Linked DNA regions of Caenorhabditis elegans. The protein of the gene in region 2 purifies or fractionates together with the protein of the main gene of each other region. This does not show direct contact. Each region holds a gene or a part of one and is shown on either strand. Other genes may lie near its edges.

Region 1 (16,916 bases), on a different chromosome or scaffold from region 2:
GGGATTGGGTCCATCCATCAACTGGCATGTAATACGAAGTAGCACTGGTACAATCAGGAACGTAGTATCTATGAGAGACTGCAGACTTGTACATACTGACAATGAATAACATAATTTGATCGAGTTTATCAGTCATATAGATATCTCCGAGAGTCGTTTGTGACAAACTTCTGAGATAGTATGGGAACTGCCCGTTGTTTTCTGGTGTTGTACAAATGGATGAACCAACACCGACAAGATTAAGAGAAAGTTGGTACTGTTGAGATACGTCAAACAATTGAACGTAGGAAAGATCATTTGGCCCGTCTGAATCAGCAAATACCCAGACAGAAGAACGTCTCTCAGAAAGAAGTACGGCTCCAAGCATAGCTTGCTCAATTTGAATCTGGCAAGATGTCTCATCAGCAGCGTAGTTTGAGAAGTTTCCATTTAGATTGGTAACCCCAGCAACAAAGTCAGCTGGCCTAGCGGAGTTAACGAGCAAATATGAAGCTATAATTGAATATTACGACTGTTACCCTAATCAAGTAACATACTGTTTGAATTGACTGCGATCAAAATCCACTTATTAATCCATTTGTCAGATGCTTGTTGCATATCACGTGTCATTGCTTGAACATTGTCTGCAATTTTTTGAACAGCTACCTTCATAGTTGATCTAGTAGAAACAACAAAGGCAATGGATTGTCCATCGAATGAAACGTCAGGATTGTTGTTGAAAGTGGTGCACATGTCTGAAATATATAAGATCCCTATTTTAATTCAAATTTACACAGTTCATACATTGTTCGCAGAAAGTTCCAGCAGTTCCGACTGGGCAAACACACATTCCTCCTCTTGGTGTACCTCCGTTTACGCATTGAATATTTGTGCAACTAAATTGATATATGAACGTCAATCAAGTTTATGTTATTTTCACTTACTATTGTCCGTAAAAACCTGGTGGACAGATGCAAGTAGCGTTATTTGTTGGATCGGTCACTCCGCCGTTCTGACAAGAGTTTGGTGGATACGGTGTCGTTGGCGCTGAAATATGTACACGTTTCTTACTCAGTTTCCGACAAAAAAGTTAGCTATTGCGCCAAAAAAGTGATAAATACAATTTTTGAAGGCTTACTTCCAGAGCAGAAACCAGTGGTAGTTCTTTGGATGGTGAATCCCTTTCCATCGTCAGCATAGACAGTAGCATAGAATGGTTGAGACATGAAATCACAGAAGTCGGCAGCTCCAAAATACATATGGAAACCACATCCGTCTCTGTATTTTCCACTGGAGTAGTACATTGGTTTTTGGTATTTGTTGTCCACATTTACATTAGATGTAATGGAAATTTCAGAGAAAAGACGGAATGGATCGGCTACTTTGCCCTTAAGTCCTGTTAGTTGAGCAACAATGTGAGAAGATTGTCCGACGACTGGTTCCGAGTCACTAGCATCATCATTGACTCCGACGCTAGTTCCAATGAAAAGATCATATTCTGAGCGGGCTTGAACACGGTACGAGCACGGAGTATTTTGCTGCAAACAAAAACATTTCAATTCTTTCAGTTAAGCTATGTAGTGAGCAAAAAAACTGAATTATTCATTTCAATAGTACTTACCACATTTGACACAACTGTGACCAAGTGCTCACCAACAACGGGGTTTGAAATCTCATACAGTTGAGTAGTTCCACTGTCGACAATCTTCAGAAGAGTATTGGTATTTCCATTTGGATCTGTGACAGAAACTGTTAACTGTTGTCCGACAGCGAGAATCATGAGCTCAGTGGTTGAAGTGTCAACGAAGAAAACTCTCGTTGGAGTGGCGCAGCTAGCAAGATCGTCAATAAGTACCGAGTTCATTTTGTAGGCTGTTGCTTTGATCACGTATTGGAAAATCTGAACAAGCAAAATATGGTGTTGTAGGATAAATTGTAAACTAACTTGTTGCAAAGAGTCAACAGATGGTCTCAGGATAAGTCCTCCACTGTAGTAAGAAGCGTATTCGATGGCTTGGAAACCTTGGCTCATTTCATCAAATGCACAATTAGATTGAACAAAGTAGTGAGTGTATATCTGAAATTGCAACTTCTACTTATGTTAACATCAGTTATGTAGTACCGGGAACTTCATGCGAGTGTTTTGCTCAATGACGGTTTGCCATTTCTCGACATCACTAGCAGTTGCGTCAGTGAACAAATAGACTGGAGATTTTTGATAGAGAGCGACTTCGTTAAAAATAGAGCCGATCGCATCAAAAGTAGCATCCGAACATTGTCCAACAGCAGTTGAAGCTTGATTGATGGCAGCCAGGAAAGCATTTTGGTCAAATGCTGGGTAGTAGGTGTTGGTGTAAGCACCGTTTGCAAATTTAACAATGACAAATCCTTTGTATACTTCGTAGTTGTTGCCGTCGTTACTTGTTAGTTCTTTGTAGATAGCACTGGAGATCGCATTTAGGTTTTGATTCATCGAAACGGTGCTTCGAATGATAACAACCAATGTCTTGTAGTTGGTAAGATATTGTTCCCAGTTCAGTGGACAGGTAACTTGAAAGATATATTTAATATATAAATATAACTGAAACTTAACATACCATCTTGACAGTTTGTTCCATGGTATCCAGCAGCACATTCGCATAGATTACCGTCTGGATCTGGGAATCCGGCGTTCATACAGTTAACTTTTTCACATTGTTTTCCATTAAACAGCTCAGAGCAGAAGCATGTTTGGCCTTGGTTAGCAACATTGAGGAGTGTTCCATTGTTGAAACAAGTTGTCACCGGAGCTTGGGTCGTTGTTGGAGGAGCTGGTGATGTGAGAAGTTCTGAAAAAAGACTGATTGCAATTTGTAGTTAACAGTTATGAAACTAATAATTCTTGAACGCCTGAGCTCAATAAACTCATGACACTTTCAGCTTATAGAAAACTAATCATTCAAATAACAAAAGCGTTGTTGACTTACGCATGCATGAGAATCTTCCGGTTCTTCTGAAGTTAAATCCGTTGGCGTCAACTCCATCAATCTGAAAGAAAACATTAAACATTTTAATTTGAACTTCGTAGTACATGATAGAAGTAGGCATTTCCAAGTTGACATTGCCACTGTCCTGCATAGTATTCATACCCGCACTGATACCTGAAAAAATGAATGGGGAAAGTGATTTGCTTTTATAGGGGTGTTAATGTTTTCAGGAGATAAATCAAGTCTAAATGCTAATTATTTCCACAAATACAGTTCCCTACCTTCTTGTGAGAGCTGCTCTGTAGACTGGAGCCAAAGAATTGCCTTGGCGAATGGTGATAGATTGAACTTCTGCAATATAAAGATTTTGTTTTATATTTAAAAAACGAAACTAACGAGCTGGTGAATTGTCAACGTGAGCGGCCATATACATCGGAACACCGTTGATTGCAGATTCACCATATGGAGGGTCGTCTGACTGTGGAGAATACACAAATCCATCCACAGCTTTCAATCCGCTGGGGTCACCCTAAAACTGACTTCATGTGCTTTTGTATTGAAATTTATATGGAAATTACTTAAAATTGAAAACTATAAATTAAATATGCTTTATATAATGCTTTATATGTTGGAACTCTCGCAGTTTTTATAAATAAATGGCTGCTGGCACAAAATTTATAATTGCAAAATTAAAAATTGGTTGTTGGTTAATCAAAGATGGTTAATCAGAGATAAAAAACCTTTGTTTTATTTTATTTTTATAAAAACGTTTTTTTTTGCTAGGAAAACTACATTTCATAAAATAATCTGAATAATGACATTCCTTATCAATGTCTGAACTTTTGAAAACTTCCCGGTGCACTTGAAGCAAAATATAAGTTAGTATGTATGACATATACAATTCATTTGGGCAGTATGGAACATCGTTGTTTTAAATATAATTTGTTCTTAATTTTAGTAGACAATTCCAGGTTTTAAGAATTTCAGAAATTATGTAACTTTAGGTAAGGTTCTTTTGATGAATTCACTATATTATTCATTGATTTGATCTTTAATAACGACATGGTATACAGTATTTTTATAACGCGCCATTTTATTTCCAATTCCACGTTTTAATTCATTTTTAGCGCGCCCATTTTGATATGCCGAACTCGTAAAAATGTAGGGAGGCAACTCATGGTTATCAGTTTTTCATCTTGTTACGATGGCAAATGTTGAACATTTTGAATGAAAATGTGCGAAATGTAACTAGAAGGCAGACTACAAAATCTCACTTACATTAACTTCAATGATGCATTCGCTTGTTGGAACACCCTGGTTATCAATGGACAAGGTATATCCACCAGATGGAAGATCGGCGTAGACATTCAGAGAATAGCTATCGTCGGCTACGGAGTAAGATGGAGAAAATACAACTCCCTTTGCATCGGTCATATTCACATATGGAATTCCAGCAGCCGAAACATGGATTTGAATGGTTTGGGTAGGCTTGTTGCCTGTTGAATCGACAGGGATGTAAAATCTTGAAAAAAGAAAATCGTTTTGAAGCAACTAAATTAAAACTCATGCTTACGGTCCACCACAGCTTCCTTGGATAAACATAATCTCAATACTGGAAGTCTGTCCAGATGTTGGTGCAGGTTTTGGATCAGTACAGATTGGGTTTTTGCATCCATCACCAGTCCATCCATTTTCGCATTGGTTGGCAATTCCAAGAACGGCAAAAATCGCACGTTTTGCTCGAATATGGAAAGCATCAGTATTTGTTAGTTCGGGATAATAATTTGGTAGGTGATGAAATACGGAATCTGAAAAAAAAAGTTGTTTTTGTAAAATAGATTTAGTTTGAGTTACCAAGATTTGGAGCAGCTGCAACTGCTGTTACTAATAAAAATAAAGCCAGTAGGAGCCGCATCGTGTGCAGTGGCGACTCGAGCAGCAGCGGACTGAAACTGGAAGGGCTTGTCTTGCCCTATCGCATATGTAAGACCGTGAAAATTTTTTATTGTTTGATAAGCCAATTTTGCTATTTGCCCCGACGTTTTGCCGACTGCCACATTTTTGCCTTCAAGAACTAATATGGTTATCAAGTGATTGCACATGGCACCACGACGACAGGCGTGTATAACGATGGTTTTTTGATAATTCTGAATATTATTCGAATGAATAAAGATTATGAGCAAAAGTAAACGTGGGAATTTACTTCACCTTTAGATATTATTGCTCAAAGCAACATTTACAACAATGAAATGAATGAAAATATTTGGCTTAAAACATTAAGTCTGTTTGGAAATAACAACAGTGTAGTTCGGTCTACTGGCTTTACGTTTTACTTTGAATTAGACTATTATCATTGTTGGGAATGTTTACTTGTTGCTTGTGATTTTAAAAACGGTTCAGTTTTCAAGTAATCAGATCGATCTCGGAAACCCTGAAATGCAGATTTGTCATGGATATGTATCAAAACGAATGCTATGTGGTTAATATGTTGTACTAATTCGGTTAATATATAAACTTGGTTGTAATAATTCTAAACGCTCTTCGTGCATACTTAGATGATTTTTTGAGATCGTAGCATTTTAATTGACTTTTGAACAGATTGTAGTTGTTTTTTTATAAATTTCAAAAATTTTGTAGAAAGTATTAAATAGTGTAGGGCAGAGAAAGAATGTTATGAAAAAGATTGTTTTATATTTCTTTGTGTTTTATACTAAAATTTGCATAATCACAGTGTTCCTCGATATGTTTGTGCAATTATGATAGTTCGCTTTTGATCGCATACCGACTCGTTGGAAATATGTAGTTTCCTGATATGATTCAATTTCTTATCAGACCTATCAATTTAAAATTGCCAACAAATTAATTTACGTAAGGAGTACACACCCAAAATGGAACTCAAGTCAAATTTTGTAGCAATGTTTTGAAACAATTTTGTAAAAAAATGCTTATTAGAAACATTGTCTAAAAATATTTAAAAATTATTTGGCTAAAACTAAATATTTTCCGCTCAGGCCGACTAACATCAACCGCACCATGGAAAGAATCAAATATCTTTGTTTATAAGATATAATTTGTGTACCTTCAACTACATATGAACACACCCATGTTCGAAAATGATTACATTACTGCTGGCACTAAATATCTGCAAATGCAATTTTTCAATTATTTCTGAATCAGTAATAGTGATTTCATCAGGTCAAGTGAGTGTCGTCTGTGAAACTATTGAGATGAGTAAAAGAAAATTTAAATCTTACTATGATAACGAGGATTATGTTCCGGAACTCAATGAACTTAACTTAACTGAACGTTAATGAACTGTTTTGAAGATTGCACTTAAACTGTACTGAATACAGTTGCTCGTTTCTTTAAACTAATCTTCCGATTAAAATAGTTTTGAACTCTTGAATAACATACCGTATTTCCTCTATTAGTCTTGCATGCGAAAATAATTTTCAATCGTCACATAGGGGTGCAAGACTAATAGAGGAAATACGGTAATAGCGTAACAAGCATAACAAATGATTGAAAAATTGGATTTTTGGCTAAAACTACTCCTGTAGAGCCGAAAGTATCGAATATCGTACTAAAACTGGTCAAATCATTTTGAAATGTTTATATTAACAGACAAAAACGACAAAGAATGAGTTTGTACCAACCTTTGTAAAAAGAAAAGCACAGTCCCCCACAGTGTTTAAACATAAATGGTTTAGAAATGTGAACAAAATCATTTCCAATTGTTTTTTCCACATTTTTAAAATATTTTCAGTCAAAAACGTGTTTGCGTCGCTTTTCGACTACAAAAAAACAATGTTTTAAACGCTTTTGAGAACTTTTACTATAATATTTTCTAATTTTAACACCATTGTAGTAAGCTTCGATAACTTCTCTACTGACGCTACTTCACCTTAGTTGAGCCCAAAAGTACCTATGCTTCCAATAAAGCATAGCAATGCTGATATCATAGTGATTATCAGTTTTTGATTTTCTGAACAACTTTGCAAAGCTTGTTGAGACCACACATAATATTTTTACACATTTACAATGGGCATCAAGTTGTTTCATTAAATTCGCATCGTTATCACACTTACACCGCAACGGAAGCTGATATGGATCTGTAGCAAGTTCAACTAACAAATTATCATCTTAAGTGTCACTTTTCAAAATTTCCGTAGCTAGTGTAATCCCATCGAATCAGCTGTTCGATCTTTCAATTAAAGCTCGTTGCTATCCTTTCCCTTTTACGCACCCGTCAACCTCTCATTTTCTCGACGTAAGACCAAAAAAAAATGATGGGAGGAGTTACTGACGATGAGTAAAGAGAACTTGCCTTTTCGCAAGTTGACGGCCTCCAGTGACGGCGCCCGCATTTGACGTTACCCCTTGTTTGCAAAGTCTACGGAATCCTTCCGTGTCTTAAGAAGTACTTCCATACGGTTTCACACATCTGTTTTTGTGATTTATCCCATTGGGTTCTTAATCACTGATCATCTCCCTCAATCGTCTTCATGTGGAACACCGCCAACCAGCATGCTTATCCGTAGAAACGTGTTTCTTTCTATCTTATTTCTCCTAATAATTGTTATTGATAGCAGGTGTGAAGAAGAAGAGAATCAAAAAGGTATACATAATTAACAATTGGCCACGAATAAAAATTTTTTAAAAATTATCTTAGTTAGTTCATTTATCTTTTTCCTTACAAAAGTCTTACTTCCTTCCTCGTTTCCTACATCCATTTACCTACTTGTGTGTTCTTACCACTTTCTGATATTCTTTTTGAAGGTTATTTTTCTGTTCAACAGGTCTAGCACAGAAAAACGTGTGATAGATATGAAGAAGAAGTCAAAGATGAGACAAGTGTGAACATCTTTATCCGGATGTCTTCTTTTTATTCCTTTTGGTGGCTAATGGCTAGAGTAATGTGTTGAATGACAGATATGATGTTTATGAGTGAAAATACATGCAAGAGAAAATGCTAATTTTGCTTTTTACAGGATTCTCGCCACCACCGGATTGCGACTGTCCTAGCGTGATTCGTCCTGTTTGCGGGACCGACAACGTTACTTACAACAACTTGTGCTTTTTGCGATGTGTTCAACGCACAAACGAAGGTACTCTTTGTTTTTTAGATATGACCCCTATGTTACGATTAATGACTTATTTTCACAGATCTTCTTTTCTTTTACAACGGCACCTGCTGCGACAAAAAGGAGTGTGAGAAAGTAGGAACGCCGATATGTGACAACTTCGGTTAGTGTTTGAGAATTAGATTGGAAAAAAAATCATTTGCACTCGTTCAAATAATATACATATTAGAAAAAAGTGTGTAACGTCTAGAACTAATCGCATTATAACAGAAGTTGTTGAACTTTCAGAATTTTAATTAATTTTGATAAAAATATATTGGTTTCATTTTCCATTCAGTTGTGAAGTATATATAACGTAATTGGGGTTAAAACAATGACATTCTGAAAAAAAAAACGTACGTGGAGTGCATAAAAAACTGATCCTAATAATATTTCTCAAAAAAAAGTTTTTTATTAAATAAAAACTTGCAAACGGTACGCTAGTTTAAAAATCGAATATGTTCACGGAGCATCCGATTAAAAATATTCAAACCTCTTTTTTAATGTCAATATTTGTTCCTTTTTAAAATTGAAAATTTTATTAATGTTCTAGATGGCAGAACTAAACTATAAAAACTCATTGTGATAAACTTAGTGATTGTAACAAATAAATCAATCTTTATAATTTTATTAATGAAATATTTAAAATACTTTCGAACACGAAAGAAGTTTTATAATGTTTCAACATTTTGACAAGAATTTTATACATAATATTTCTGAAAACAAACAAAATTATTCTACTGAATACTTTATTTCGAAAGTTTAAAATAACTTCTCACATGAAAGAAGAAGTTTCCAAAAATTATTGTTTACCCTGTAGTTTCTAAATATTTTCACAGAAGATTTTAATTTTTAGGAGAAACACATATCAATGATTGTCATTTTGCTCAATTTCAATGTATCATGAAGAAAAGCATGGGCTTGTCGTTGACGAAACTACACATGGGCCGATGTTCTTCGAAAGACTGCAATCATAATTGTACGAATACTGAATTCGACCCGGTATGTGACACGAATGGGTCTGTGTATCGAAATCTGTGTGTGTGAGTGGACAGTTCGATCACCGTCTGATAAACATGTTCCGTTTCAAGGTTCCAAATGCGAAGATGCGAATTACAATTAGAGAGTCAACGAATTCAACTGGCAGAGGATAGAAAGTTTTGTTTGAGGAGTCGAGGTAGGTGGTAGGAATGTGTGGAACGACAATCACATGGACTTTGGTGATCTGATTCAACGGTTTAGAGACCCAGCGATTCAAATTGGCCGGAGTGGAATCATACACCTCCTACGCAGATGAACCTTATTTGGAAACGACGGAAGCCAGCACTGTGGCACCCGATCTCACAACAACTGCATCCACAACAATCCCGATGAAATCTGAAAAACCATCAAGAAATGAGACTTTTATTAACAAGGTCATTGCAAAAACCTCTGCTTCAAAGCATCGTGAAAATCATTCACCTCTGACGGTTAGTTTTTCTAAGAAGCGGTAAACTCTGTCAGTAATCGGTGTAGTAGGTATGCTTAGAGGCGATAGAATCAAAGCCATTATTCAAACTGATGCTATCTCCGATTACAGCATTTCTTTTTCGCTTTCAAAAAAGAAAGACCAGGCTGATTTCACAAAGACTAAATTGTAACCTTACTTGACATGTTTTTTTCTTTACACGGTAAAAATTTAAGCAAACAAGTCTCGAGAGGCAGAAAATTTGAAGAATGTCAAAGATTTCGAATTCCTCTTTCAGCGCAACGATCTTAATCGTGCATGCAGTATCAAAGAGTGCGATAAATCATGGGATCCGGTCTGCGACACTAGAAATCGAACTCATAAAAATGTTTGTCAGTTCAAGTTTTTTGCTTGCAAGGTGAAAATAATTTATTGGAGATAATGCTCAAACGTCACATTTCAGATCAATAAAATAGATGGCAGTGTAATAGATATTGCTCATTCAGGAGCTTGTAGAGCAGTGAGTTTGAAGGAAAATTTGGATTCAATAATGTTTTCATTTTAGAGAAAAAGTACATGTATAACATGTCCAAAGGATGAGAAAAAGATTCCTATTTGTGATAATCGTAATATGGTATGTATTGAAAATAAAAAATTAAAGTTTCCCAGTTTAAGTTTTGCTCGTCGAGATACCTTTTCTTTTCCTGTACTCTAAAACTAAGTTCTTAATCCCAAACCAATATCATAGTAGAACTTTTCAAAAAGTGTTTGAAACATTTTTATTGATAGTGAAAAATACCAATTACTGAGTTTTTGCCACTTTTGGAGAAAACTATAGCACTGCTGCATGTTGGAATTTCTACAAAGTTTGAATATTAATTTTTAAACATAGATCATAAAATTCAAAGAAATCAGATGTTTTTTGATCGACGACTTCCAAAAAAAGTGAAAAACTGCGATTTTTCCAATTTTCAGAAAATCATAAAAGTAATAAAACAATATATTTTTAAATTATGCTATTTGGTCACTGTAAAGTCATAGGCAAGTTTTAAAGCAATGCTTCCACTTGCGCTACTAAAACTTTAAGAACCTATGCAATACTTAAAATTAAACGTCTAATTATACTTAATCTCTAAATATGCTATATTTAAATTCTGTATACATATGTGTTTTGAAGTTTATATTTCAGACGCATCCTACTCTTTGCTCTTTTATTCAATACAATTGTGAGGCCAGAAACAATGAAGATGAAGAACGCGTGCTTGTTCACATCAAATCGTGTCATGAGAGAAGTCCTCAGTTTACTCTTAAAGTACTGACTGAAATCGAGAGAAAAGTCACGTAATTTCTCAACTTCCAGGACGAAATTTGCCCAAGGACTTGCAGTCGCGACGTGAAGCCCGTTTGCGATGAAGCCAATAACACTCATCAAAACCTGTGTCATTTTCAGCAATACAATTGCAACATGCGAAAGGTTTAAGTGTTATTGAAAAATTGATGCACTTACCAAACATTTCTTCAGCTAGGAATTCGCTCGCCGTATTTGAGATATTTGCGGCCGTGTGTCAAAAATAGAAAAATAGATAATGCAGTGGAAAATGTGGAGATGAGGGCAACAGTTTCAAATGTTGTAATAAAAACTTCCAAATCAGTTGCTGAATCAACCACTACTTCACAGTTAAAACAAACTGTTGCATCTGAAAAAACTACATTCATTGTAAGCGCATTTGAGAAAGTCTTGGTAAGTGAAAAAAATCGTCAAAATCGAAAAATTGTTTTTAAGAAAAGTACCACAAGCACTCCATCACCCTCATCAACAATCGTGACAACGACAATTAAAGTACCAACAGTCACATTTTCAACGCTTCCGGACCCAACGACAAAATCCATTTTGGAGATAGAAATCGAAACCACAACACCACTTGACGTAGCTTTCTTCGATTGTCCAAAACCTAATTGCCCAACAGATGGACAACCGGTATGCGACTCGGCAGGAAATTTGCATGGGTAAGCAATTACAACTATCTCGTTGAAATTTTATTGGAATATCATCACACTTTTTGTCAAATCAAATTTTGGAAATGGGGTTGAAACATTACGAATTATTGTTCAAAATGTCATTGGAAAAATGCATATTCACTGAAAAATGTGTTGAATCTTATGGGGTAGATGTACCACAAATTATCACCTTAACTAATTGTTTAAAATCAGGTTTTAACTTACCATATAAAATGTTTGTATACAGCTTTTACACAGTAGCCAATACTTCAAGAGTAATTCTTGATGAGTTTCTTGTACAAAATCAGTCCAACAATTTCAATAAACACATTAATAATTTTATTGAAACAGCATTTTCACTATTTCAGAAATCTGTGCGAGTTTACCTACTCTCGCTGCATTGCTGCTAGCAAAGGACATCAAATTCACATTGCTACTGAAGAGAACTGTATTTCAAAGGAAGCATGCCAAATGCCGTGCACTGATGATAAACACCCTATTTGTGCATCTGATTTTTCCACTTATGAAAATCTATGTCAGTTTAGAAAACAGAAATGTTTGGATTCTGAATTAGAAGTTTTATTCAAAGGTTACACTTTTTGGAAAAAAAAACATTCAAATAGTTGAATTCAGGAAAATGCAGCGAATGTCTAGATTCTCCATGTGCTCTCCCAGCAGAAAATTCCCCGGATGAGTCTTTTGTTTGCTTGGAAGACCAATCTACAAAATCACTGTGTGAATATCAAATGTTGTCTTGCATTTTTGAGCGCGGATACGGTGTGAACCTAACTGTTCAATATGTAAGTTAGGAAAGAAATTGTTTCATCAATTGTTTTTGATATTCAGATTGGAGTATGTTGCCCTCCTGTTGAGTCATGCGATACTGAAAAACCGGATCCAGTCTGCACTGATAGTGGAGCTACGTTTTTGACAGAATGCGAACTAAACATCGAAAACTGCAAGCTGAAGAAATTAGATCAACCAAAGCTTGTCGTTGTTTCACAAGGGATTTGCGAAAAGTAGGAAAATTATGAAAAATTGAAATGCAGATCTTGTTTCAGAGATATGCTAACCGATGACTTTTCAAGCAATCGAAATTTCCAAAAACCAAACATAGAATTCAAAAGAGAAAATACTTTTAATTGTTCTATGGAATGTGACAACTCATATGATCCTCTATGTGGAACTAACGGAGTTACTTTTACCAACGCATGCTCCCTTCAGAAAGAGATTTGTGAATCGGCGAAGTAATGAAGTTTGATAGTTTTTCAAATATAGATGATCAGAGTTTCAGCTCGACGATTGAAGTTGCTTACACCGGAATGTGTTGTGATACCAACTGTCCGTCCGATTTCAGCCCAGTTTGTGATAGTAAAGGAAGTACTCATCAGAACATATGCCATTTCGGAGTCAAAAGATGTATTGCCGAACGAACATTTGGGGATGTTCTTACAATTGACAAATTTGAAGTTTGCAATGAAGTCAAGGAATGTAACAACGCGTGTCCAAAAGAATACAGCCCAGTTTGTGCATCAAATGGGCAGAACATTGTGAACGAGTGTGAACTAGATAAAATTCGATGTCTTGTAGAAAATAATGTGACAACTGGAGATAAACTGGTGAAAGATTACGACGGTTTGCAATTTTTCTAGTTTCAAATAAAAATATTAATTTCAGGAGAATGCTGTAGAATCGAAAATTGCGACATTTCTGTCTTCTCACCAGTTTGTGATACTGAAGGAGTAACCCATGCGAATATGTGTCTCATGGATCAAAATGCATGCATTCAGATGAAAAAGAACAAGAAAACCATTCAAGTTTCCTATCAGGTAAACTCTGAAATAAATTTTTGAACGAAAGGTTTCCAATGCCATTATAAGGACAAAAATATTATTTTTTTTTTAACTTTAAATCAGATTAGTTACATTAATTAAAGGGACAATGCTGTAACCAGCCATGTGATGAAGATAAAACCCCAGTTTGCGACGGAACAATTACACATCCGAACATTTGCAGATTCAGGTAGGCTCATATATTGTCCTATTTTCTGTGACCGCAAATACTGACACTTTCAGAATTGCACAATGTGAAGCAGAACGAGTAAACAAAACGCTCAGCATTGCCTATTCAGGAGAGTGTTGTCTTCTCCCAAAAGGAGAGTGTGAAAGTTCTGGAGCAGTTTGTGATTCAGAGGGTCAAACTCATATGAATCATTGTGTTTATCAACAAAGAAGATGTATGGCACAAACCATATCTCAGAAGACTCTAAACATTGTTCATACAGGTATATTAAAGTTTTTTCAAACCAACAACAGCAAAAAAAAAGAGCAAAAAAAATGAAGTTGAAATTTTTCGTGTACTCAATATTAACTCATTGAATACACATGTTTAAAATGGAACATGTACATATACCTGACAATTTGATTATAATGAATCACCTTAAATAAAAAAATAAATTTCAAAATTTCAAACAGATGCAACTTTTCAGGAGAGTGTTGTGCATTAGCTTCGTGCCCAAAAACCGGACAGCCGGTATGTGACTCAAGAGGTCGAACTCATGATTCTCTTTGTCACTTTCATAACTCAAAGTGTATATTTGACAAGATTCATACTCAAAACACAACGTTAACCCTGGACTACCAAGGTTTGTTTTCTTGTTACTTCAATACAACTATTGAACTACTTGTTTTCAGGAAAATGCTGTCCCGCTGGATGTACAGATGAGTTGTCTGTTATTTGTGACCAACATGAGAACATATACCGAAACTCGTGTTATTTTAATCTGAAAGCATGTGAAACGTGGCGACGAACACAAGACGTGCTTCTTGCCACACCCTGCCCGCTATTACGAACGTGAAGATTCCCAATCAAATTATAATTTAACTTTTTTGTTTTATAGTTGTTTTTTTGTAAATAAATGGTGAGATGTTTGGAAAAGGTTGACATTTAAACGATTTATTCATTTACTCGATGTACTTGCCACTGCCTTTGGGACTACCAGTTCAATGTCTTCATCTCGAGGGAGTTCATGCCTCGGACTTGAACTTCTTGACTTTATATCTAATACAGCAAGCTTTGATTCAACTTCATGTAATCTCATTCCCAGTACTCTGAAAAAAAAACAGTATTCCTTATTGAAACGTTGTATGACTCCCACTTGTTAGCACGACGTGAGTGTGCCAACGCCATTTGCTTATCATTGCACAAATCGAGCAGAATAGTTGTTATCGCACGATAATCGGACTCGACGAGTTCGATGGCATGAGAAGCTAGCAACTCACGAACTGAAATATGCCGGAAAATAATGGAATACGAAGTACAAAAACTGTGTCCAAAAAGTCTCACTTTGTTTCATATTGATGACTGCTACACTTGGTTTGTCATCTCCTTCGCCAGCCTTTGGAGATCTATTCACCATCGTCTTGAAATAAAATTTTCACATAGGCGATAATGATTCCAAAAAGTTACCTGTACATTTACAGCTTCGGCCATTTGTTTGTATTTGGCAAGTGTCATTTTTATGGACTCACTCTCTTCTTCTGCAGTGTTTAGTTTGGCTTTCAAAAACCGGTTTTCGGCCACTAAACTGTCCAAATCTTCGGCCACCTAAATACGCCAATTAGAATTCAACTCAAAAACAATCCGAATACCAGGTGTATAAAAAAGGGAATACTTGACTTACCCTTCTCGGATCTCCATTCAACAAATAACTCAACTCGTTGCTCAATCTTGCTACCTTCCGCTGCATTTCGTCGCGTTCCATGAGCAGCTCTTCTTTGATTCCAAGCATAGACCGGAGATCCGATTCAAGACCTTTGCACTGAAAAACAATTATGGCAAACCAAATTGAAACGGAACAAACCTTTGCCTGAAGTTTTTCATGAGCTTCCAGCTTTGAAACTTCGTCATTTTCCGTTGAAAATGAATTTCGAACCGGTCCTCCCATTTTTTCTACCTAAAAGCCATAAACATTGAAGCTAATTTTAAAAAATTAAGTACAAATTTCGCAAAATGTTTTTATCGAAGATTGTTTATAAAACAATATAATGGCTATAAATTAAATTTATGCTACATAATAATATTAGACTTTGCTGCAAAGTCTCATATTATTATGTATGAACTTTTTAAAAAGATTAAAAGGTATTTGTACCTGAAAAACGAATGAATCAATTTTATGAAATAAACTCGTTTTTTTGTCAAGATTTTTTGTTTCTGTTGCAATAAATCTCTCAATATAATCATTTTAAATTAAAAAAAAACGAAATGAAATAAGTAGAAATGTTTCTCGATATTCTGTAAATATTCAAATGTTTACCTCAAACTGAGCAATTGTCTGTCGAAACGTTTTGCAGTCTTTTTTCAAGTCAGCTTTTTGGTCCAACAATTCTTGCCTGTCGGTCCTTAATTGTTGATTTTCTCGCTTGTACTTTTCAATATCTTCTATCAAATCCTGTCGCTCTGTTCCGAATTTTATTTTCATGTCGTTCTGACACTAAATTAAAATTCGTTAAAAATTTGATAATGATTTATTTAATGAAGGTTGACTTACCGCACATACTAACTGCAATTCTCTTTCAGATCTTTCCAAATTTCGTTCTAGTGTTTCGACTCTGGCCGCAAGTCCCTTTTTCTCATTCTCAGATTTCTCCAAATCTTGTCCGAGTCTCACGATCGTGTCTGTTTTCGCACCGCATTTTTGTTGGAGAGCGGTAAACTATAATTATGTATTAAACATAGTTATAGTCAGAAAACGATTTTGCAAAAAAAATATATAATTTTTTAATAAAAAGTTCTTACTTGTTTCTTGAGCTCGAGAATCTCCGCATTATTATTTTCTTTCATGAAGATGGCACAGCTCAAAGAGCATTAGAAGACTAAATAAGGACAAAAATCGATATGCACAGAGGGGGAAGAGAGGGCCTCACTGCTCCTCGCACACGTTTTCCATGACCGCCTTTCATGCATTGAAAAAGTTGGGCGAACATAAACTTTCGAGTACGAAATGAATTTCTGCTGTATGATATCTTGAAGCTTCTTTTCCAAACAACGAAGTTTAGTGAAAATAAATTTATTAAGTTTACCACTTGACGAAATAAGAGAAAATAAGAAAAAGAAGCCCAACTACCCCAGAATAAGTACAAAAAGTGTCAAAAATAACAGAAAATGACTAGCTATCACAGGTTTAGAATAAAACATTTAAAAAGTTGGATTGCAGTTAAGATAATACAAATAGAATTAGTGAATGTAAGCAGATGGGTTCGACGCGTATTCCGGAAGATGAGCAGGTCCATAGTTTTCAAAAAGCTTGCGCATATCAGCAACATGAATCAAATCGTCATATTGCTAAAAATAAAACAAAATAAATTATTGTTCAACTTTGTAAACTTACGTCGTGCTCGTGGA
Region 2 (16,884 bases):
AATTTCAGATCTGGGATACAGCCGGCCAGGAACGTTTCCAATCGCTCGGAGTCGCTTTTTATCGTGGAGCCGATTGCTGTGTGCTGGCTTTTGACGTCACAAATGCCGCCTCGTTCAAATCGCTTGACTCGTGGCGTGACGAGTTTCTGATTCAGGCTAGGTACGGGGAATATTTAGAAAAATCACATTTTTTCTGTAAAAAAACTGAAAAATTCATTATTTTTCTCTAATAAAACGGAAAAATCCACCATTTTTCTCCAAAAAATTCGAAAAATCCACGGTTTTTCTATAAAACTTCAAATTCTTGCAGCCCCCGCGATCCAGACCATTTCCCGTTTGTCCTGCTCGGAAACAAGGTGGATTTGGAGTCACAGCGTGCCGTTTCGTCAAAACGTGCTCAATCTTGGTGCCAGACGAAGGGAAATATTCCGTATTACGAGGTTTCTGCCAAGGAAGCTCTCAACGTTGAAGCCGCATTTTTGGCAATTGCTCGTGATGCGTTGGCTAGAGAATCTCAGGTAAAAATGCGGCGAAATTGGATTTTCCTGTGAAATTAAAAAATGTGAAATTTCGGGCGGAAATTGATTTTTTTGTAATTAAAAACTAGTTATATAGTGAAAATAGCTTTAAAATCGTGAAAAAAGTACGCAGAAATCAAGAAAAACTGCCAAATTTCGGTTGAAAATGGCATAACTTAGCGATTTTGAAGCTAAAAATCAAAGAAATTGGTTAGAAAACTGGTTTTTTCAAAAAATTTGAAAAATCTAAAACTAAATAAATATATCAAAAATATGCTGCGTTTTATGTAAAAATTTGAATTTTTCCAACAAAAAGCAAACTAAAAATTTTAAATTTTTCAGGAAACCAACGATTTCCCAGAGTTTCCCGACCAAATCCGTCTCAACCCAAATCAACAGAACCAGCAGAATTCGGGATGCAATTGTTAACCGTGTGCTGCTCCGCGCAGAGCCCTCTATCTCTATCTGCACAAAATGTATTTTTGACACATTCGATTCAATTCAATTCAATCCACACAACACACATTTCCTCTTCCCTCGTCTCCACTTTCTAAAAATCCCAAAAAATTTGAAAAGAAAATCCCACAGATTACGGTAGTCACCCTTTGCCGGTCCCCAATCACCATCTACTTTTTTTCTGGGAAATTCTTCCGTTATACACACCATTCGATGCCTTCTAGTTTTTCATTTTCACTCAAACTCACTTTTTTTCTTCATTTTTTCTCGTTCCCCCCCCCCCCCCCTGATATATTTGCCATTCATTTGTAAATTTTTACACCGAAATTCTAATTTTTTTTTCGAAATTCAGTTCCCTTCCCAGAAATTATTGCATGTTCTTTTTATATAAATTTAACATCCACACAAGAATGAGCATATATTGTCCGAATTTTAGGCTTTCTAGGATATGTTTTAGGTAAAATTTACAAGTTTTGTGAGTGAGTAGGGTCAATATTTACAGTTTTTTCTTCAATTTTCAACAAGCTGGCTCTCAATTGGCGTCTGGAAGTGGCTGAAACTGGTTGCGGAGGATGTAGTCGCTGAGGCGTTCCTCGCGGAGCAAATCGCGATCCAAATGTGGACGATACGTGTGTGGATACAGTTGAAGACGAATCTCGTACAGGAAATTGTCCAGAGCCTGAAAACCCGAGATTTTTTTGGAAATTGTGGGGATTTTCCTGAAAACCTTGTAGCAGAACGCGGCTTCTCCCTTGCACTTGCCGCAACGCTGGTCGAAGCAAAGAATACACTCGAATCTGGAAAAATTAAACAAATTGCATATTTTTGGTGGAAATTAAATAGAAAATCCATTAAAAGAACAATTTTCGCTGAAATTTTATGGAAAATTGTCTCGAATTTTATTTTTTTTAATTTAAAAAAAATTTTAAAATTTTTCTACGGGAATTTCAATATTTAAAAGTATACATAATTTTTTTTTCTCAGAGAATTTTATAAAAATTCCAAAAAAAAATTAAATTTGCACCGAAATCTTGTAAATGTTTTTTTTAAAAATTCACATAACCGAAAATACGAAACTTTTTTCACGATTTTCTTAAAAATAGGCGAAAACTGAATTTTTGATTGAAAAAATTCCGAAATTTCCTCAAAAAATCCGATTTTAACTCGTTTTTGACGAATTTTCAGTGATTTTTCTCATTTTCTCCCTTACGATTCTTCATTATGATCGCATTCCTGACGTTTTCTCTTCTTATTCCCGATTTTCTCTTCCGAAGATCCCTTTGAAGATGAGCTATTTGCTCCGAGAGCTCCCGGAATCAACAAATTTCGCATTGCCATTGGCCAAAGTGAGCTCTCCTGTTCGAGTGGCTTGATGTGGCGGAAGCTTTTTGAAATATTTCTGAAAATTCGTTAATTTGAAAATTTTGTTTGAAAATGTTCTGATTTTTCAGGTTTTGAGTGAATTTTTCGATTTTTTTAAGCGAAAAATTCGAAATTTCTTCTATTTTTCATGAAAAATCCCTCAAAAACATACATTTTTAACAATAAAAAAACTAAAATTTCGGATTTTTTGAGGGAAAAATTCGAAATCTGTTCGATTTTTCCATTAAGCGTACGAATATTCATAAAAATTATGGAAAATTAGTTTTTTTTTCAAATTTTCCATGAAAATCCCATCAAAAATTGATTTTTTCGATTTTTCAATCAATAAATTCGAATTTTCTTCACATTTCACCATCAATTTCTGATATACTAACGCGACAAAAGCCTGCGCAAAAACGGATCCAATAGTGCCGGCGAGTTCCTGTGACGAATCGGACATTTTCGCCTGTGGGCTCATCAGACAAATGCACAAAATTCGGCCCAAAATCCGATGGTCCAGGCTGACGCAGAGGCCTTTGTCGAGAAGTCGAATCAAATGATTTCCGTCCAAATGACCGATATTTGTAGACATTAGGAAACGCTCACAGTTGGTGAGAAGTGGTTCACTGTGGAAATGTGAAAGCATATCCAGGACGGGGACGATGCTTGACACTGAAAATTTGCGATTTTTTAAGTGAAAATTTTATTTTTTTGCTACAAAATACCTGAAAATAGCCCAAAATTTGATAAAACCACAAAAAAAACCACGCGAATTTTGAATTCCCTCAAAAATGAGTGCTGCAACCAATCAGCGATGAGCTCCGCCCACAGCTAATCGCTGATTGGTTGCAGATCTCATTTTGGTGGCAATTCAAAAATTCATCCAATTTTGAGCCTTTTTAGCTGAAGTAGCGTGTATTTTAATTGAAAAAAATAAATTTTAGGCCATTTTTCCATAATTTTAATATTTTTGCGTAAGAAACTGATTTTTAAACCTAGTTTTAAAAAAAAATTATTTTCTTGCTATTTTTCAATGAAATGTGCAGAAAAATCTCTATTAACTATAAAAAGAATCAATTATGAGCTATTTTTAGTTGAAAATCAAACAAATTTGTCTTTTTTTTTTAGCTAAAATCTGTTGAAAAATAGCGTCAAAATCCATTTCTCACATACATAGTTTCTCAAAAAAAAATCAACTCAAAAGTGCAATCTGAGCCTTTTTTTAATTGTAAATGCCAAAAAATTGAAATTTTCTCCGATATATTGCAAAATTCGATCAAAATCCAATATTTCCTGCTGAAATTCCAGTGATTTTCCAACATTTTTCCAATTTTCGCTCCAAAAAATCCTAAAAATATTACAAGTGAGAGGTGTTGGGCGAATCCCGTAAAGCGATGGGCACACCGAGTCCAGAAACGCGTGGAAATTTCTGGAAATGATCGGCGATTGGAAGCGGTGACTGCAATCCTCGTGCGGTGCCGCAACACTTTCCGGAGCCGAAATCCACGTGGATTTGCAGTTTGTCGAGAATTCCACGTAGCTGAGCTGTAAAAAATTCACTTTAATTCTGAAAAATCACTTTAAAAAACACTTACGCCATCGAATTTCTCAAAATAAGCGCAACTCGGGACGAGCTCCTTCAAATCGACGAAAAAATTCACTGAAACTTCAGATTTTTCCGGATTTTCTTGATTTTCCAGACATTTTGTGATGAGTGTGATGCGAAATTGTCGATTTTGCGACTGCTCGTGATAGTTGACAGCCTGAAAATAGGAAAATTTTGGGTTTTCAGTTTTCTTGTCGATTTTTACTTTTTGCAACGGAATTTTCGCTTCATCCAGCGTATTCATGAGCTCAGAGGTAACACAGAGTGAGCACGTGTTCCATGTCATCTGAAAAGTGCAAAAAACTTGAAAAATTTAGTGAAAAAGAAAGGAAAATGGATAAAAAATAAAAATTTGCGCCCAACGATGCTCCGAAATAACAGCGGAGCATCGTAGCGTGTGTTGTTTAGCGTAAATAATAAATCATTTGAAAATTCAAAATTCATTAAAAAAAAGAAAGAAGAAAATCGTGAAAACCACAGAAAAAAACAAGGAAAAAGATTTTAATATTATCAACAAAAAAAAAACAAAGTGTTAAAAAAATTTATTTCTAATTCCAAACATCTCTCGAACCTTCGATTCAATTCTTCTACAACAAAAATGCAGCAAGATCAGTTTTTTCTAATCGTAACTTTCCCATTTCTCGTTACAAGTTTCGCACTCGTCTCGTGCCTGAAAACGGCTTGGAAGTTTAAGGGATCTGCTGACCCCTCAGAAGCTTACACAAAAACTTTGCCAGTCGCTGTGAAACCGAAAAAAGACGAGAAGAAGGTAAGTGCGCTCTAGTGCTAATGGGTGGCAAATTCAAATTTCTCAGATAAAACCAGGAAAAACTGTGAAAAAAGTCGATGGAAAGGACAAAAAGGCGAAGAAACTTTCGAAATTTTTCGTTTTCAATCACGGAAAAGACGAGGATTTGAAAACCGCGGTCGGTAGCGAACCCACGTTGGATTCCACACAAGAATCGATCACTGAGGACGACGGCAAGTGCGCCCCATTGAGAACCATCCCGCGAAATTCAAATTTTCCAGAACACGAGTCACCTCTCAGTGATAACTACAAGTTCAGTGATGACGAGAAGCTCGACGGACTGCAAATTCTGCCGTCTCCGCCGCCGAAATACGTGGAAAAACTGAGATCTCGTGTGCGACAAACTCGGCGTGGCAAGAAGAGCCCACAGGACTACTATGTACGTGTAAAATCGTGTAAAATTAACTTTAAGTATAAGTATATTGAGTTTGAATTGAGTTTGAAAAAAAAAATGTGGGTCCCACCACGAAAAGCTACAGTAACCTGAGCTGAATTCAAATTTCTTGATCAAAATCCGAAATATTTTAAATTTCAGTGCACCGACGAAGAAGATTCGCTATTCGATGTCCCATCCCTGAAGATTGACCCGGCAACCCTAAAATCTTCCCGATCAAGCATTCCGCTGAATATTCAAGGTACATACAGTAATCCATATACATCCACATCTCTATATATCAGACTCCCGTTTGCTCCGCCTCAACCAAGATCGCCTCGCCTTCAAAAAAAGCCACACAGTGTACCCTCATTCTGCAATCTCGCCGCACTCGAATCGCATGCATCGTTCCGAATCGCGTTCTTCCCGAGAGTCGGAACCAACTACTATCTCACAGAGATCTTGAGAAATCAATAAAGTTGTCTTGATTTCAACGAAAAAGTGTTAAAAGTGTAAAAAGCCTCAGCTAATGAAATCACCTCACCAACAGTCAGTGATATGCTCAATTGATCATCAACGGCAAAGCGGCGGGGGGGGGGGGGTCGAACCCGCGGCGTGTTTCACGGCCGCGCAGCCGCTACCCGCCTGCGCCACAACGGTGTCACCGAAATTGAACGACAAGGCATTGACAAGAGAGCGGCACGAGGAGGAGTGTGCCGAGCAGAAATATCCAAAAATACAAATAATTAAATTTTATTCATCGCATTAAAAACAAATTAAGAGCACAGAAAAATACAGAAATAGACCCGAATATCTCATCAAATTGAAATACAAAAAAAACGTGATAAAATTCAAAAAACGTTCGCAACAAATTTTCGAAAAAAAATCTTCCACTTTTACGAATACTGCCGAAGCCTCGAGAAATTCGCAATCCAATAAATCGATCCAAGTGCCACGACAATTCCATTGATGGTCCAAAGTGTCTCAAAACCGGAATACGTGTAAACTCCGCTGAAAATCAAAGAAATTTGCGCGTAAGATGCGGTGTTTCAGGTACTTACGACGAGTAAATTGGTCCCAGAATGAGAATAACGTCCTCTGCGACGATCATGGCTCCTTGCATTACGCTCTACAAAAGGTATGGTTTTAAAAAAGAAAGTATTAAAAAAATAATGTTCGTTTATTTTTTCCAATATTTTTGAAGCCCTTACCTGATTAATAGGTCCCAGAGTTTTCGAGTAGATCGCATCGAGAGCCACCGACGAGAGCGGGATCCCAATTCCCATGACAACAGCGATCACAATGAGCAAAAGCGGAGCCGCCGGAGCATATGATGTGTCACACCAGCTATAGGTCGTCGAGTTACAGCCAACATCGGCTAGGGCGTTGTAAGGGGGAACTGGATTGCTCACAGGTGTCCATGGATAGGTGAATACGTACATTGACATGAAGATTACCAAACCTATGAGGAACGCGATGCGTTGTTGGAGGCTGGAAAATGAGAAATGGGTCTTGCCGCGAAAAGGCTATATCTCGAGATATCTCGCTTGTCTCTGGGTTTATCAAAAACTTTTAACTACGGAAGTATTCCTTATTTCTTTGCCTACAATTTTGTAGTTAAAAATTTTTTCGCTAACTTCAAAAATAACCGAGATAATGATAATTAATGCCAAGTAGTAGACTTACAAATTGCCGAGATTGCAGAAAAAGTAGAGCCCGGCGACAATAACGGCTAGAATTCCGACTGCTCCAAGTGTTATCGACATGGCGAGCACAGTTTTTGCACCTGACCAGCCGTAATTTGTCATGAAAATTACAGAGGTTAACGTGGTGAGCGTGACGACTGAAAGTGTCGCGTTCATTTTCTGGATCCAACACAAAACGACGATTCGCCAGTTCAGATTCATTTGAGAAACCTTTTCGATTCTCGATTTGACTCCAGCGATCGTAAGGAATGATTGATTTTTCTCTGGAATTTTTTTGTTTTTTAAGAAAAACTACAGTAAGCCGATGAAAAAACGGCAAAACCATAGGTCCTGGCCGGGATCGAACCGGCGGCCTACTGCGTGTAAAGCAGACGTGATAACCACTACACCACAGGACCGGTGTGTCGGCGCCTCCCACAAAGCGGTTACAAAGACTCACTCATGTCGGATTTTGCACGGCGTGGCAGTTCTTTCAAACAGCATTTGATGATGGTGATGGAGATGAAATTGGTTGCGGCGGCAACCCAAACCGGCGCCGAATAAATGTGGAATTTGACGTTTGGGAAGATTTCCCATCCCGGATAGTGAATCGATGAGAATGCAGCTTGGATTACTGTAGAAATCGATAAAATCACGTGAAAATCATAAATTTATTTTTTTTCTAATTGAAAAATATTGTTTTAAATTAAATTAAACCAATTCACCTCTTCAACTGTGAAATACCACGATTGTTCAAGTTCTCTAGACTCCTATCACGACCGAAAAATTTTCAGCTACCGTACCCCGAGGGTACTGTAGTTGAAATGTTTCGATCGTGGCAGGACCCAGTGAAGGTAATTTTGTGTTATTTTCACAATATTTCGCACAAATTCTGGATTATTAAATCTAAGACACTTATTTCGATAGTTTTTATTTTAAAAAATCGACTTGTGTCCTAAAAACCAAAAATCGCGATTTCTAGGCCATCAAGTTTTAATTTCAAACTGCTATAACTTGGTGTAAAAATTTAATTTCCAAAATTTGAGAAAATCATTGTACTCGTCGCAAAAATTTGCACCGAAATGACTTATTTAATTCTGGTGGCCTAGAAACACGAATTTTTTGAATTTCTAGGCCACCAACTTCAAACCGGTATAACTTGCTTGAAAATTGATATTTTTTGCCGGTTGAAAAACCAACTGAGTTCAAATTTTGATATGTTTTCAAATAAAAATGAAAACTAACTTGGTCCGACAATAATCGAGATCATCGTGGCCGCGTTCAATCCGGAATAGGCCTGCGGACGATCTTCATGCCTAGAAATCGCAGCAACATAGGCGCGAAGAATTGTGGAACTGCTCGAAGCAACTCCAAACAGAATATAACACAAGGCCATCACATATCTCCGTCCACTACCGAACATTTCGACGCATAGGTAGAGTAGGCAGGCACCGAAGGCGATAAACCGTCCGGCGATCAGAGGAATTTGGAATGATTGAAATCGATGGCACCAGATTGCGAAGACAAGTGCCGAAATGGCGTGGAAGAGTTTTGACGCGGCCGTGGCGTTTCCGAAGAATTGTGCGTCGGCTTCCTTGTCGATCTGCAAGGCTATTCTGTTTGTCAGTTTATATCTTGGTTCAAGCCAAAGCCTGAGCCTAAGCCTAAGACTAAGCCTAACCTCTTAAAAAGTTACAAGAAGGTTTTTCCTTGCGCTTGGAGCGCAAAAGAAAAGAAAAAGAGCTATTTAGACTTAGGGTGCCCAGCTGGAATAAAATATAGGAAATCCTTATGACACACTTAAGCCTAAGGGCCCGAAAAACATACTAGGATGCCCAACTGGAATAAAATATTGGAAATCCTTATGACACACCGGCGGTATGGCGCGGCTTAAGCCTAAATAGCCACTTTTATCAAAATACATTTGAGCTCTGCTCGCGTTTTACTCTAACTTCTCAGGCAACTCAAAAGTAGTCTGTGGATATTTTTCAGAAATCTGAATAAAGATTATCACTAAGAAACTTGGAAATTTTGTAATATTTGAAGGGATGCGAGCAATCTCTACATATTTGCGATCAACCTTTGGAGATTTTTTTTCTTAGTGAAGTTATAGAATGCCAATATTCAAATTCCTATCTCATGGGAAGAAAAGTTCAAATTCTGTACCTGCGTATTATTTTTTACAACTCCGTTCTTTCCACAAGAAAGGCCTTCTTCCCATGAGATAGGAATTCAAATATCGGCAGCATTCATAGGTACAGAATTTGAACCTTTCTTCACATGAGATAAACATTTTATATCGATCAAATTAACCCTCAAGTAAAGTGGGACCTTTGATGAATATAATCATTCTGATGATATTTAATTCCGATGATTAATCCATTTTTCTTTCTCTCACACTTATGAACTAAAATGATTACTAAATTAAGGCGGGATATTCTAAGGTGTGATAACATATGATATTTATTTTTAAATTTAAATAAAGTTTTTTTTAAATTTTTGCTAAAAAACGAATAGTTTACAACCGCCTCGCTCAAATGTATTTTGATAAAAGTGGCTATTTAGGCTTAAGCCGCGCCATACCGCCGGTGTGTCATAAGGATTTCCAATATTTTATTCCAGTTGGGCATCCTAGTATGTTTTTCGGGCCCTTAGGCTTAAGTGTGTCATAAGGATTTCCTATATTTTATTCCAGCTGGGCACCCTAAGTCTAAATAGCTCTTTTTCTTTTCTTTTGCGCTCCAAGCGCAAGGAAAAACCTTCTTGTAACTTTTTAAGAGGGTTTCACATATTTTATTAAAATCGGGGCGAAGCCCTGATTTTAAATCCATATTGTTTTTGTTTTTGTCTTCCACTATCCCTGCAAATAGGAAAGAGAATGTGTTCTTTCTGATAAAGTATTTAAAAATCATCTTAAAATCTTGAAAACTGAGAGCAGGAGGTAATATAATGTGTGTCTCCCTGTGGGTGGGGTGGCGATGTGTTGGCATCCAACCCTTCAACGAACTGTATCTCCCGCCTGTATCTCCCTTCAAAGTGAGAATTGGGTTACAAAAATTTGAGGGAATATGAAAAAAGGTGTGAGGATTTCAAAAATATTATTGTTGAAACACCAGACCAAACCACTTTTTCTGGGCAAGAGGCAGAAAATTAATTTTTTGAAAAATTTCAAACTGGCACAAAATTTTTTCAAAAACAAATTTTCAAAAATTTTTTGATAGATTCCATTTTTATCAATATTGTTCATTGAACACAGAAAAGAAAACAAAGATTCATCAAAAAATGAGTGAAAAATCGCAAAAATTCGAAAAAATCAGTGCTGAAAAACTCGATTTTTTGGCGGTGCTGAAAAAAATTTTCACTAAAATTTTTTTGAAACTTAGTTTTTCGGATTTAGCGTCAAATTTTAAATCTATATAAAAAAACAAAATTAAAATTGATCTCAGATTGAGTGAATAATAAACGCTCAAAGTTGAAAAATGAACAACGCAAAAACGGCAGTAACTTGCTTCAAGGTCGGTTATCTCAGTGAGTTTTCACTCAATTTTCGAAATTTTTTTGCTCTATCGCTTTAGAAATATTTGTAATTTCATTTTTTTTTTCTCAAAATCAAAATATCTCAAACGACCGCCATCCTACGAGAAGGGAAAAAAAAAGTTTTTGGAAAAAAAATCAAAAATTTTTTTTCTGCCTCGCTTTTCAAAATGAAAAAATCACTTTTTCGGAATAATTTTTACTTTAAAATGTACCTACGATCTTTTTATACAACAATTTCACCTTGGAACCAAAGATTTCTCAAAGACAACAGCGCACGAAGCGGTGGTTTGCGAAAAAACACGAAAAAAACACACCGAAGTGGGAGGGGGGAGGTCAAAATTGCGAATTTGACTTTGGAGCTCTCTAAAAGAGCTCATAGCTGATGGATCTGGATGATTTGTATGTTTTTCGACGCATCTCGTCGAGTACTATAAACTGCTAAAAAATCTCGTAAAAATCGCAAAAACTCGAATTTTCCTGCAAAAAAAAGAGGCGAAAAATGAGAAAAAAAACGTGATTTTTGGAGGATACTCGAAAATACTCTTCATATCTCGGCTCAAAGAGCTCCAATCTTTCTGAAATAAAGCATACAGAGGTGGGGCAAGTTTCTTGAAGAGACAGCAAACCGCATCAAAATCCATCCACCCACCGTCAAGTTACACGCGCGTTTTCAGAGCGAACGAAAAACAGGGCATAAAAAAATTTAGACGCCCGCACCCGGACTCGAACTTTTGTCGGATTTTGAAGCTTAATATCTCGGCTCCTGTAAATCGAAATTGGCTCAAAATTCACAAGAAAACTTATTTCACTGCCGTCCTCCTGTCATTAAATTTTCGTGAGCTTAGGGAGAAAACTGACAAAACGCCAAACTTTCAAATTTTAAAAAATAGTTGAGGGTCATTTTGAAAACACCTTAAGCTCCATAACTCGGCGAGTTTCGATGGAATCAATTTGAAATTTTACACGGAAGCTTCTTAGTGGCCTATACGTCTCTGTGTTAAATTTCGCTTTGATCGGCCAACGGGAACACTTTGAAAAATGAAAAAACGCTGTAATCCTAACCCTAAATAGCGTCAGTGGGGGAGCTAACGCTAACGCTCCCCCACTGACGCCAAGCCTACGCCTAAGCCTATGCCTAAGACTAAGCCTAAGCCTACGCCTAAGCCTAAGCCTAATCCGAAGTCGAAACCTAAGCCTAGGCATAAACCTAAGCCTAAGCTAAAGCCTAAGCCTATGCCTGAGCCTAAGCCTAAGCTCAAGTCTAAGCCCAAGCTTAGGATTAAGCCTAAGCCAAAGCCTAAGCTTAAGACCAAGCCTAAGCCTACGCCTAGTCCAAGCCTACGCACCTGATTCATATAAGGCCACTCGCTCATTCCGACTACAGTATTCTCGATCGCAGCAATAAACATGACCAGCGACGCGATTACGATGGCTTTTCGGTCTGTAACCATGTCGGTGTCCGATTCACTATCATTACCGTCTTCTTTTGAAGGGACATCTGAAAATTTTGAACTTTTTCGGGGAAAAATTATTTTCTTGGTTTCAAACTTCCTTTTTTTACGATGAAAAAATAAAAATTTCTAAACTTTTTTTGAAATTTTTGACAGAAAATTACTACAGTTGAAATTTCAAAAATTCAACAAAAAATTCGAAGCTCCTTTTCTCACCATCAAAATCCATCTTGCTCATTGAAATCGTGGGAATTTGGAATTTTTCGTCAGGAGCCTGAGCTACAGCCATTTTTTCTTGCTGAAAAAAAATTATTGGTGGCTAAAAAATGTTTACAAAGTTGGAAGAAATATCAATAAACCATAAAAATGCGCAGAAAACGAGATTAAAATTATTATAATCAATCAAGTGGAAACACAAAGAAAGAAAAGAAAACATTGAACTCTTGAGTTTGCCTAAAACAAATTCCCATCGAAAAAATGTTTTGGGAAACTGGAAACATTTTACAGAAATATTACGTCATAGTGATCAAAAATCAATAATAAGATAACATCTCGAATTTCAGAAATCATAAAAATTATTGCAATTTTTCCTGGTTTTGAAGGCGGTTTTTTTAAGTTAAAAAAATTTAAAAATTGTAATTTCAAGTGGCAAGTGTCAAGTGTTTGGAACAAAGAGACAAAAAAAAGGAAAAATGTTTCGAATTCTTCCAAAAAAAAAAGTACAAGTAAGTAAGTATTTCGGGCGGTGCGTTTTTATAGACCCATAGATATTCGGTGTTTACAAAAAGGTCGTTGTGGGTGTCCAAATTTGACGTGGTGAGGTGATCGTTAAAAATGTTTTTTTTTTGGTAAAAATTCAATAGCCCACATCATTTTTTTTCTAAATATTTTCTCAACTTGCCAAAATTATAAAATATCAGTTAAAACTTGGGTAACCAAAAATAAATTAAAAACTTTTTTTTAATTAACAAAAACCAAAGTTCAGTATTAAAAATTTTTTTCGGTGAAGTTCTGAACCAGATTACGGAAATTAAACAGATTTTATTTAAACATACTAGTTTATTGGAAGTTGAAAAAAATACAATGATCAATTTGGTCAACCTAAAATAATGGGAAAATTTGAAATTTAATTTTTATTCAAATTCTAAAATTTCCCAAATCACATTTTTCTACATTTTAGGCGCGAAATTCAAACAGAGAAAAGAATTTTTGCAAATTTTTTTTCAATTAATAAATAACTAATTTTTTAAAGTTTTGGAGCAAAATTTTAAATTTAATTAATTTGAAGTTAGAAATTAAATTTAAAAAATATTGGTTGAAAATTGGAATTTCAATTAAAAAACTTGCCTCAAAACTCAACGTTCAATTTTTCAAAATAAAAGTTCGACGCCAAATTCCAATTTTAGTTTTGAACCAGTTCTAGGGCGTTTCCGGCAATTGCCGGTTTTGGATATTTCTGCCAAATCGGCAATTCCGGCAATTTCCAGTTTTCAAATTTTTCGGCAAGGATAATAGAAAAGTATGACGAACAAGGTTTGCCACCGTACAAAGTGGTCAAAAATTGTGGGTGGATGGATGATGGAAAAGAGAAATAGAGGGGCAAAAGATAACCGGTTGACAAGGGGGTACGGGACAGGGGGGGATAAATGGAAATGAAACAAGAAAAAGGGCAGAGAGAAAGTGATTGGCATTCTTGTATACAAGGGATGGGGGATCTATAAGACTATGTCAGGTAGTGTGTTTTATATGGGGCCTGTAAAATAGTAGTGGCTCACTGAACAAACTACATACTTGGTTTGTTTCATTGGTATCGGAATAGAAAAATCGACGATTTTTTGTTGTGAGGGAATATATACCTTTAACATTTTTTTCTATTTTTCACCCAGATGCAAAATTAAAAAAAAAATTTTTTTCAAGTTTTCAGAGAACACAATTTCGGCGGGAAATTTAGATTTTCAGATAAAATTTTTTGGCGGGGAATTAAAATTTTTTAGAAAAAATACAAACCTTTAAAGTGTTGGAATATGACTATTTTAAACATAAAAAAGTTTTTTAAAATGATATTTGAACATTTTAACACAATAAAAAAAGTTTTCAATCAATTCCCCATTACTCCACATTTAACAAAAGACCATCAGGATCAAAAGATTCAATGCGGAAGTTTTTTGATCTTTTCAATTCAATCATTTCGAGTTCAGAATGAAAATTGAGAAATGTTTTTTTTTCTGATTCCATCAAATCATTTTATTTGTCTGATAGAAGACGCATTATAAAAAGTATCTCTGCGGTGGTGAGAAAGATTAAAATGTTATCAACTAACGAAATGTAGATAAAATTATGCTAATTAATTTGATAATTGGTAAGATTTTTTATACACATTTGAAGTTTGAAAATTGGAATTCTGAAACTACAAAATACAATGAAAAATGAAAACAATACACTATCATCATCATTTTGGGAAACCAATACACAAATGTTCTTATTCACCGTTTTCCCACAGCGGTTTTCCAGACAATTCTGAATTTAAAATTCTTTGTTTAAATGTTTCCCATTCGCCTAACAAATTGTATGACAATCTAGGGATAACAGAAATTTTTTTGTTTTTTTCAACATGTCTATTGACTTTACGAGTTAAAGGATTAATAGAAAGCATCATAGGGACAAAAACAACGGGAAAATGAAAAACAAAGACATATGTTAAAACAGAAAATTTAGGCTAGAAAATTTCATACTAATAATACATAATAGTTGTTCCAAAAAAGCATGGGAAAAAATTGCTTTCTGATGTCAGAATTAATGAAGAAGCTATATTAAGCTAAATTTCTAAATTTAAAGTGTTACCCTAAATTGTAAAATTTTAGTAGTTTAACAGGGAGATCAAAGTTTTTTTGCAACATTGAAATTTTTCAGCGATCATTTGAAGACCAATAATCTGCAAACCAAAGTACAGTTCAAAACTACAAACTACAATGTTCTTTAGTGTTTCAATTATGTAGTTTTTTGTTAGGAAGTTTAGATAGTCAAGTTTGACATTTATTGAGAATTTAAAAAAAATTTAAGTTGAACATTTTTTTGAATGATTTATTTTTGTAATAAAAATTAACTATAAAATTGAAACTTTAAAAAGAATTGTAAAAATGCAATAAATCAGCAATCGGATTTGTTTGAAAGATTTCACAAATCATAAAGCTAGAAAAAAAACACTTTTTAAGTTTCGTGATAAAAATTGGATGACCAATAAATCAAAAATCTGATCAAAATCTGAAAAGAAAAGTTTCACGTAGTGCCAGGCTGTCCCATTACGGTTTGATCTACAAAAAATGTGGGAATTTTTTGCCCAAAAAAGTGTGACGTCAGCACGGTCTTAACCATGCAAAATCAGTTGAGAACTCGGCGTCTCTTCTCCCGCATTTTTTGTAGATCTACGTAGATCAAGCCGAAATGAGACACTCTGACACCACGTGAAGTTTGAAAATATTTATTTGATTTTATTGAATTGACATGAAAAATAATAAAAAATTCATGCATAAAATTAAAATTGTGAACAAAAAAAAATTTGCATAAAAAAAAAAGCCAATTTTAACTTTGAATCAATTTATTTGAAAATTGATATTCGAATTTTAATACAAATTAGGAACCAATTTTTTTGAAAATGCTTATTGAAATCCTGCAATTCGATTTAAATTTTTTTTTGAATTTTAATTTGTCGGAAAAATTTTAACTTTGAGTTCCGTGCCAAAAATTTGATTTACTTTAAAATTGCAAATTTTTTTTGGGTTTTTGAAGTTTGAATTTTCAGCCAAAATTAACAAAATGATTTCAACCAGGGTGGGGGGATCAATTTGCCGAATGGCAACTGCCGCCCACCCTGCTACAAACTACAAATACTACAATACTACAAACTACTTGAGGATGTGATATGTAGATACATATCGATGATATATCATTGATAAAAGATATTTTGAAAACAAAAATGTTGAAACAAGAAAAACTGAAAATCTACATCTGTTCCACAACTTTAAATATATTTATAAATAGAAAAACACACGTGTCTTTAAACTTTAATATTTTAATACCTAATGTCTTAAAAGGTGATATACTTTGTTATCATCTCTTATCAGTGCTTTTTTAGTAATATGAGTTGGAATTCAAAAAATGAGAGAAAAAAACAAAAGTAGGTACACGTGGTACTTTAAAACATTTTTGATTTTGATAAAGTCCTAACAGTACACCATTTTATATAACTATTAAGTTCATTCAATCAAGAGTACCGCAAAAAATCTGGTGTTGGCTCCGCCTACCGATAATCCGATCACCTCAACAAATTCGTTTTTGTTTACCAATTTTTTCGTATTTATCCACCTGTAGTTTTATCTAGTAGGGCTTAGGTGTTCCTATGTTGATTTTTCAAAGATTTTGTTAAAAAGATATCAATTTTTGATGAATAAAAGGCTACAAAAATAAAATAATTAATTTTAAAAAAAACTTTTTAAAAAAAGTTTCGAAACTTGAACAAATGTTTACGCATATAAATAAACTACCTATTATTAATCCAATCACGAATCAATTACTCATCAAATAAAGGGTAATAAAGCAAACAATGATGTGACCCGGAAATAAAAATGATAAAAAATAAACTTGAAGCTTGAAAAAGATCTGACAAAGTGAGTGAGGTAAGGTAAAGCTTACTTATCCCAAAATTTTAAATAAAAATTCTGAAAAAGCACCATACCGATTCAGAGGCCACTATAAAAAATTTAGATTCATTTGAGTAGAAAAAAGTTGATCTGGAATTTTTCAGTGCATCATGGCCTGCGGAATTGCTGCTTTTTGGAGATTTTTTCAGAGTGTTTCAGTGTATAAAGTTTCAGATAAAGAAGTGTTTTGACAGCTTTCAAAATAATTGCTTTGCCATGAGCCTATAAAAAATTAAATAAAAATCTGCAAAAATCTACCTCCGGAGCCAATTTACGGGCTCCGAAAGTAGTGAAAAAATTGCACTTTAAAAATTCAGATTTTTTTCTTAAAAAAAACAAGCAAATAAATTACTAAAACGTTTCAAAATATTTACAGTTTTGAAACAAAATT

What was found.
Region 1: the proteins of W03C9.6 (region 2) and F29G6.1 fractionate together in Caenorhabditis elegans (co-fractionation; one large-scale study listed by BioGRID). This does not show direct contact.

What each region holds. Positions count from the first base shown.
Region 1 is NC_003284.9:11,494,990-11,511,905, forward strand, and holds F29G6.1 (Kazal-like domain-containing protein), read left to right. Parts: upstream 1-7,277; 5' UTR 7,278-7,472; coding exon 7,473-7,563; intron 7,564-7,936; coding exon 7,937-8,053; intron 8,054-8,111; coding exon 8,112-8,192; intron 8,193-8,924; coding exon 8,925-9,111; intron 9,112-9,159; coding exon 9,160-9,245; intron 9,246-9,310; coding exon 9,311-9,537; intron 9,538-9,813; coding exon 9,814-9,933; intron 9,934-9,978; coding exon 9,979-10,035; intron 10,036-10,080; coding exon 10,081-10,149; intron 10,150-10,704; coding exon 10,705-10,827; intron 10,828-10,875; coding exon 10,876-10,989; intron 10,990-11,037; coding exon 11,038-11,256; intron 11,257-11,298; coding exon 11,299-11,522; intron 11,523-11,881; coding exon 11,882-12,102; intron 12,103-12,146; coding exon 12,147-12,313; intron 12,314-12,359; coding exon 12,360-12,532; intron 12,533-12,574; coding exon 12,575-12,760; intron 12,761-12,807; coding exon 12,808-13,148; intron 13,149-13,190; coding exon 13,191-13,342; intron 13,343-13,449; and 9 more. Other genes in the region: hrg-11.3 (C-type LECtin), read right to left, coding at 1-492, 537-734, 784-875, 924-1,026, 1,118-1,517, 1,601-1,879, 1,925-2,056, 2,102-2,529 and 8 more; ccdc-149 (Coiled-coil domain-containing protein 149), read right to left, coding at 14,473-14,623, 14,671-14,797, 14,859-14,934, 14,982-15,119, 15,196-15,333, 15,376-15,468, 15,829-16,005, 16,063-16,227 and 1 more.
Region 2 is NC_003280.10:11,949,718-11,966,601, reverse strand, and holds W03C9.6 (MFS domain-containing protein), read right to left. Parts: upstream 12,095-16,884; 5' UTR 12,086-12,094; coding exon 12,013-12,085; intron 11,844-12,012; coding exon 11,692-11,843; intron 8,412-11,691; coding exon 8,054-8,411; intron 7,443-8,053; coding exon 7,269-7,442; intron 7,228-7,268; exon of another isoform or gene 7,154-7,227; intron 7,093-7,153; coding exon 6,810-7,092; intron 6,615-6,809; coding exon 6,335-6,614; intron 6,253-6,334; coding exon 6,185-6,252; intron 6,135-6,184; coding exon 6,020-6,134; 3' UTR 5,863-6,019; downstream 1-5,862. Other genes in the region: rab-7 (Ras-related protein Rab-7a), read left to right, coding at 9-160, 311-518, 861-947; W03C9.2 (uncharacterized protein), read right to left, coding at 1,507-1,653, 1,702-1,771, 2,185-2,373, 2,732-3,008, 3,698-3,881, 3,932-4,099, 4,148-4,228; W03C9.1 (uncharacterized protein), read left to right, coding at 4,541-4,711, 4,758-4,923, 4,972-5,129, 5,286-5,385, 5,429-5,589.